Linked DNA regions of Nothobranchius furzeri. The protein of the gene in region 2 binds, or shares a complex with, the protein of the main gene of each other region. Links are inferred from orthologs where the notes say so. Each region holds a gene or a part of one and is shown on either strand. Other genes may lie near its edges.

Region 1 (3,186 bases), on a different chromosome or scaffold from region 2:
CACAGGAAGCTTACCGATGCTGTAGTAAAACAAAAGGTATAATAATTTATTATTAATAAAACCTTGTTGCAGCACTAAAGCAGAAAAATTAGATTTTGCATTAAATATGCAAAATATTTACATATGAATTGTTTTAGAGCCCTTTAATTGGCAGAATCTGATATTAATTTAGTTCTTACAAAAAATGGGTCCCAACATGGTTTGTGTGGCGTTGCCATAGTGTGACGTCATAGGCACAGATCCCCTGTCCTCTTGTTTGGAAATGGAAATATGATCACCCTACATTAAACAAACTGTCCACCCGGGCTTTTGCGCTGCACAGAGACGCTTCGCTGCCTACGACTGAACGTCAGTTGAGAGTCAGTCTCATGCAGACTGACCAATGAAGAGAGGGCCTCAAGTTAAGACCCTCTCCTCATTGGTCAGTCCACACGAGGTGGGTCAAAGGTTACTCTGGGCGGGTTACGTGTTGTCAGGCATTCAAGTATTGAGTATATTTACTGCATATTACAGTAAAATATTCTGTATGTGACCACATTATGGTGATCCTCGGGTCGTGATGATGGAGCCCTTGAATATTGTTGCCCAGGGTACAACAAAGTGTTAATCTGGCCCTGGTTCCGCCGTCACATTCCCGCAGAAACTGGTTGATCACACCGGGGCCAGACTACTAGCATGTGGTTTTACAACCACAATGTCCTCAGAAGCAAAAGCGCTTTTAAAAGGGAGGGAGGAGTCCTAACTGTTGCTGCAGGCGTGTTGTGTGAGAGTGCAGTTATATACTGGTTAATATATTTTTGGGTTCAGTTGCTTTCATGTGGCCTAATGTGAGTCTATTTGGGATCATTGGAATGATCAGCAGCATTTCTTGATGTGACTTTATGGCAGTTGCCCAGGGCATCATCGCAAGGAGGATGGCATTCATTTACTTTTGCTTTATTTGGTATTTTTTCAGTCATTTTTGGAAATAGTGATCAATTTTGATTAATTCACAGCCAATGTTTAATTACATTTAAAATAAATGTCAACAGATGAGATCAAACAAAACAGATGAGAATTGCCCTTAAGCTGTTTAACTTGGACCAAGCATTTTAGGTCACAGATAGATGTAGCTTAGGGTCTCTGTCTATACACCTTATAAGACAATTTAGGTGATGGCATGTTGTTTTCTAATAATGTTGTGTTAAATAAAGTGAAGGAAGGAGAGAAATAACGTTTCCCTAGCAGTTTTAAAAAATTTCCCCATGTAATCCGATTAATCGATTAATCGTGTCGAGACCCCATCCGATTAATCGATTATCCATATAATCGTTTGTTGCAGCCCTAGTGGTTATTGTTGGTGTCAGCATCATTGTCCCACGTGTCCGCTCCTCCTGCAGGACTGTACCTGTGAAGATTTCTGTCCTGAGTGCTCCGTGGAGCTGACCCTGGATGTTCGGTGCACGGAAGATCAGACGCGTCACGTCACCTCGCGTGACCTGTTGTCCAACAATCCCAGAGTCATCCCGGTGAGTGTGCAGTCTCTGGAGTTGCATCACAGAGCAGAACACAAAGCTTAACGTTCTCTTGTGGGTTTCTAGGTGACTTCTAGGAGCCGAGACAATGATCCAAATGACTACGTTGAGCGAGAGGGCGAGTTTCTCTTTAAAATACTTGTGGAACAATTTCATTGTGTTCTTCCACACTTTGCTTATCTACATTTTCTGTTTGTGTCGTTTACCAACACGACAGACATTTTGTTGGTAAAGCTTCGTAAAGGTCAGGAGCTTCGGCTCAGAGCGTACGCAAAGAAAGGTTTTGGTAAGGAGCACGCCAAGTGGAACCCAACCGCGGGGGTGTCCTTTGAGTACGACCCGGACAACGCACTGAGACACACGGTCTATCCACGACCTGAGGAGTGGTACGTCTTCATTTCACCATAAATCTTGTAAATTATAATGCTGAACAGCAACAGAATGGTGTGTTTTATCTCAGGCCAAAGAGTGAATACTCTGAGATCGAGGAGGATGAAGTTCAGGCTCCCTACGACCCAAACGGAAAGCCAGAAAGGTAAATAAACTTCTATTATAGGATAATTTTAATGATGTTTCCTGTTAAGAAGTTCTGCGTGTTCTTGGTTCAGCTCAGGAATCGTTTTTACTTTAAAAAAAAAACACAAAACTGAGATGTTCTGAAAAGGAAAACTTGGGATTTTTGCTCCATCCAGGTTCTATTTCAACGTGGAGTCGTGCGGTTCTCTTCGACCAGAGACCATCGTCATGTCGGCGTTGGCGGTCCTCAAGAAGAAGCTGAGTGACCTGCAAACGCAGCTGAGCCACGAGATCCAGAGTGACGTTCTCACCATCAACTAACTAAGCAGAACCTGGATTCACACTGGCTAGGGGGGTTCTGAGATTAATACAAAATATTTAGTTGGATTAAGAATAAAACTTCAAACTGTCAGATAATTATTTTTTGTTTAATGACTGTTTTTAAATAAATCCTTTTTAAATGTGTGTCTCTTTACTAGTGTTCGTTTTATTTTGAAGACCAGCTGTTGGAAGTTTGAAGTGACCTGAAGAAACTTTGTGCTTCAAAGATAAAAGAAAAACAAGAAAACTAAATCTCTAGATAATGACAGCAGTATGAAAATCGAGCTATTTGTAATATTCTATTTAATTTGATATTTTTTGTAATTAGAATTTTAATCCTCCAATGAAAACAAAAAATAATGACTTCAGATTATGTTTAATTGTAATTGGTAATCTGATTTGATTGATGGCCACATACTCTGTTAAAAAGGGATTAAATTTATTAAGCCATCTAGATGCAACTGACTAGCGCTTCATCATCATCACAACACCACCCTGCTTCACTGGCTGCCAGTCAACTTCAGGGTTCATTTCAAGATCCTGGTTCTGGTCTATAGGGCCTTACATGGACAAGCACCATCTTACATTGGTGATCTTCTTAGTCCCTACACCCCCAGCAGGTCCCTGAGGTCCAGTGATCAAAGCCTACTGGTTGTGCAGCACCAGGCTAAAGGTCAAAGGTGACAGATCATCTGCTGCTGTGGCCCCCAGACTCTGGACCTCTCTCCCCCTGAGCCTGAGACCAGTGGACTCAGTGGTCTCCTTTAAAAAGCAGCTGAAGACTCACTTGTTCAAGCTGGCTTTTGTATGACCTTCTTCACCTCTCTCTTTATTC
Region 2 (3,826 bases):
AAGGTTTTTTTTGTTAAAACATGTGAAGAGTGTGTTACAGTAATCTAGACGAGAGGAGATAAAGGCATGGATAACTAATTCAAGTTCATGTTTTGACACCAACCTTCACAGTTTGGAGATATTTCTTAAGTGGTGAAAATGTTTCGGACCAATGTTTTTGAGTGGTTTGAGTGGCCTTGAAGAGAAGAAACAACACCCAAATTCCTCAAGTTTAACTTGACATCAGAGGTTAAATGACCAAGTTGTTTACTAGTCAGGGGAACCATGCTCTCACTAGTCAGGGGAACCATGCTCTTGGGGACAATGAGCAGACATTTGGTTTATCCTCATCGGCCCTCTCACTTCTGCCTTGGGGGATACCGCAGGGTTCTATACTGGGACCGTTGCTGTTTCCCATTTATATTCTCCCATTGGGGGACATTCTACAAAAGTTTGGAATTGGATTCCATCTCTTTGCCGACAACTGCCAATTGTACTTACCTCTAGATGGCGCCGGTGATCACACGATAAAGATTTTTGAGATTGTTTGGCAGAAATTAAGATATGGTTGGCAGAAAACTTCCTGTGTCTCAATGGGAAAAAAAACAGAGGCACTGTTGTTTGGACTGAGTGAACATTTAGATTTTTCCAACGTAGACTGCGGTAAACTGAACTCCTGTATGGGTGTTTCAGCAGTCAACCTTGGCGTGAAGATGGACAGTGCATTCTGCATGGATGCTCATGTGGGTACTGTAGTATCCTCTTCATTTTATCATTTAAGACGTTTGGCTAAAGTAAAGCCATTTTTATCTAGACGTGACCTTGAGACTGTTGTTCATGCTTTTATTACCTCACGACTCGACTATTGCGATTCCGTTTTATTTGGTGTAAGGGTACTGTAGCCCGATTGCAGCTTGTCCAGAATGCTGCAGCTAGATTCTTGGACTGCAAAAGGAAGCATGAGCACGTGACACCAATTTTGGCTGCTCTCCACTGTTTACCTGTTGATTTTAGAATTCGTTTTAAAGTTCATTTAATGGTGTTAAAGGCGCTGAATGGTGTGGCTCCAGCCTATTTCAATCAATCAATCAATCAAAGCTTTATTTATAAAGCGCCTTCCGCAACCCTGTCAGGAAGCCCAAGGCACTGAACATGGTACAGTAGAAGTACAAATATAGTGAATAAATCAAAAATAAAAGCAATTCAAAAATAAAAGCAAATTAAATTACTAAATACAAATTACAAAAAAAGGTGAAACATTCTGGTACAGGACAGATGTGTAAAACAATGGATAGAGTGAACCAATGAAAACTGTGAAATAAATTCAACATAATAGAGGGCCGAATCAAACATGTTCAGGAAACGCCAAGCGGAGGAGGTGTGTTTTTAGGTGACTCTTAAAGGCTGGCAGAGATGGGGACAGCCTAACTGAGGGTGGCAACTGGTTCCAGTGTGACGGTGCTAGGACTGAGAAAGCCCGGTCCCCGCGAATACGACACCTAGAACGAGGGACAGCGAGCAGGCCTTGGTCAGAGGAGCGCAGAGCGCGTGATGGGGAGTGTTTGTTCAGGAGAGTGGCTAGATAGGGGGGACCACCACCCTGGAAGAAATGATAAACAAAGACGAGGATTTTGAATTGTGAGCGATAGCAAACCGGAAGCCAGTGCAGGGAGGCCAGAACCGTACTGATGTGGTCCCGTTTCCTGGTCCCAGTCAGGAACCTATTTGGCTTAGTTGCTGCAGCCATATGCTCTGGCCCAGTCACTCCGCTCTGAGAACCAGCTGCTGCTTGTGGCTCCTAAGGCTAGGCTGAAGTTAAGAGGGGACAGGACGTTCTCTGTTGCGGGTCTGAAACTGAGGAAAGCAATGCCCCTAACTATTAGGGACTCTCCATCAGTAGCAGTTTTTAAAATGAGGCTGAAAACGTACTTTTATGATCTGGCTTTTAATTCTGTGGGTTAGCAGTTGTTAATGTTTTATATTTTGCAAGTCTCATTTGTGGTTTTAAATATGTCTGTAGCGATATGTTTTATTGTTTTACTATTTTGTTGTACAGCACCTTGGTGGCATGCTCATGCCTGTAAGGTGCTTTATAAATAAAGGCTGAGTTGAGTTGAGTTATTCAGAAGTGAACTGAAGGATGTTTTCTTCTAGCCAGCTGGTGATGGCTGATAGACTAGTAATTCAGACAGTTTATAGAACTCAGAATCCCTACAGCTGAATATCATCTGCATATAGATAAGAGACATTATGAAAAGGATAATAATCTGTCCAAGAGGGTTTATATACAGTAGAAAAAGAGTGAACTCAAAACAGAGCCTTGGGGTACCCCACAGAGCAGATCGATAGAATCTGACATGATTTGGTTTATATAGACAAACATATGTTTTTGTTAAAAAGCCTCTGCATATCTTACTTTTACTTTACGTTTCATCTATTACCATTATTAGTACCATTAAATCTATGACTCAGTAGTTATATCTGCTATTATTTTCAGGCATTGGTCAACAACCCAAAAATTGAGGTTCGTGATGGGACTTATGGCTTCAAGCCCAAGTACAACCTGAAGGACAAGAAGGCCTTAGTGAGGCTGCTGGACAAACATGACCAACTTGGCCTGGGTGGAGTGCTACTGGACGATGTGGAGGAGGGGCTCCCTAATGCTGCCAAAGCCATCAAGGTGACCCAAATTTACATGAAGATGTGTTTAAATACGAGAATCAAACATGGAATTATAGATGTTTGTATCTCTGTAGGCTTTGGGAGATCAGATCATCTTTGTTACAAGACCAGACAAGAAGAAGGTTCTGTTCTACAATGACAAGAATTGTCAGTTTTCAGTTGACGAAGGTGGGTGATGTTGTTGACTGTATGTCCCACTCTGTCTCTCTACAGAGATCAGAGAATAACGCAACACCGATACCCGAGTTTGCTCAGAATGGGGCAGAAATGTGGACAACAGTTTAATCGGGACATCTTAATTTACTTAGCTTCTTTATAGCCTAGTCAAATGATAAATGACCCGCACTTGTATAGCGCCTCTCAGAGTAAGGACTCCAAAGCGCTTTACACTACAGTGTATCATTCATCCATTCACACACACATTCACACGCTGGTGGTGATGAGCTACGATGTAGCCACAGCTGCCCTGGGGCGCACTGACAGAGGCGAGGCTGCCGAGCACAGGCGCCACCGGTCCCTCCGACCACCACCAGCAGGCAAGGTGGGTTAAGTGTCTTGCCCAAGGACACAACAGCAGAATTCTCTGTCCGGAGCCGGGATCGAACCTGCAACCTTCCGATTACTGGACAACCCGCTCAACCTGTTGAGCTACTGCTGCCCAAACCGTAGCCGCAGCAAAAGGTTTTGCTCCGAAGGTCGATCTAGCCACACTTTGTTGTAGTCTCAGCAGGTTCACCATTGGCCCAAACTATTTTAGGTCTGGCATATCACAGAGCTCAATGAGACATGAGCAGATGGAGGTACTTAAAGCTTCTGGCCAGAGGTAATTTCCTTTCAGTGACGGGTAGAAAGTCTAAAAACCTCTGCTGAAAAAAGATCTGACTTCCGCTGCAAAAACACAAGATAGTTTCTGATCTTTCTGACGCTACCCAGCTGGTTACATCATATCGCGGCATTCCCTCAGAAATACATTGTAAACAATCCATGGCTTTGATTTTTCTGCGTAAGCATTATGGCAGATGACGTTTCATCAGAGTCAGTTGTAGCATCTGAAACCTCTGCTAGATGGTCATAATTTTCTTCCCCGGAATATAATTCAGACAAAGAGAACAAATATCGGATAGCCAGGAAGGTGAAACCATCTTTGAGAGCTTGGATTAATCAG

The links.
Region 1: gtf2e2 (region 2) and polr2c share a complex: the UniProt entries of both Homo sapiens proteins name them as parts of the TBP-based Pol II pre-initiation complex. The link is inferred for Nothobranchius furzeri from reciprocal best matches to the Homo sapiens genes GTF2E2 and POLR2C.

Annotation. Positions count from the first base shown.
Region 1 is NC_091744.1:86,086,191-86,089,376, forward strand, and holds the end of polr2c (DNA-directed RNA polymerase II subunit RPB3), read left to right. Parts: intron 1-1,379; coding exon 1,380-1,508; intron 1,509-1,580; coding exon 1,581-1,632; intron 1,633-1,731; coding exon 1,732-1,900; intron 1,901-1,974; coding exon 1,975-2,049; intron 2,050-2,206; coding exon 2,207-2,351; 3' UTR 2,352-2,495; downstream 2,496-3,186. UniProt on the Homo sapiens protein: Core component of RNA polymerase II (Pol II), a DNA-dependent RNA polymerase which synthesizes mRNA precursors and many functional non-coding RNAs using the four ribonucleoside triphosphates as substrates.
Region 2 is NC_091747.1:77,638,598-77,642,423, forward strand, and holds part of gtf2e2 (transcription initiation factor IIE subunit beta), read left to right. Parts: intron 1-2,476; coding exon 2,477-2,659; intron 2,660-2,735; coding exon 2,736-2,829; intron 2,830-3,826. UniProt on the Homo sapiens protein: Recruits TFIIH to the initiation complex and stimulates the RNA polymerase II C-terminal domain kinase and DNA-dependent ATPase activities of TFIIH. Both TFIIH and TFIIE are required for promoter clearance by RNA polymerase.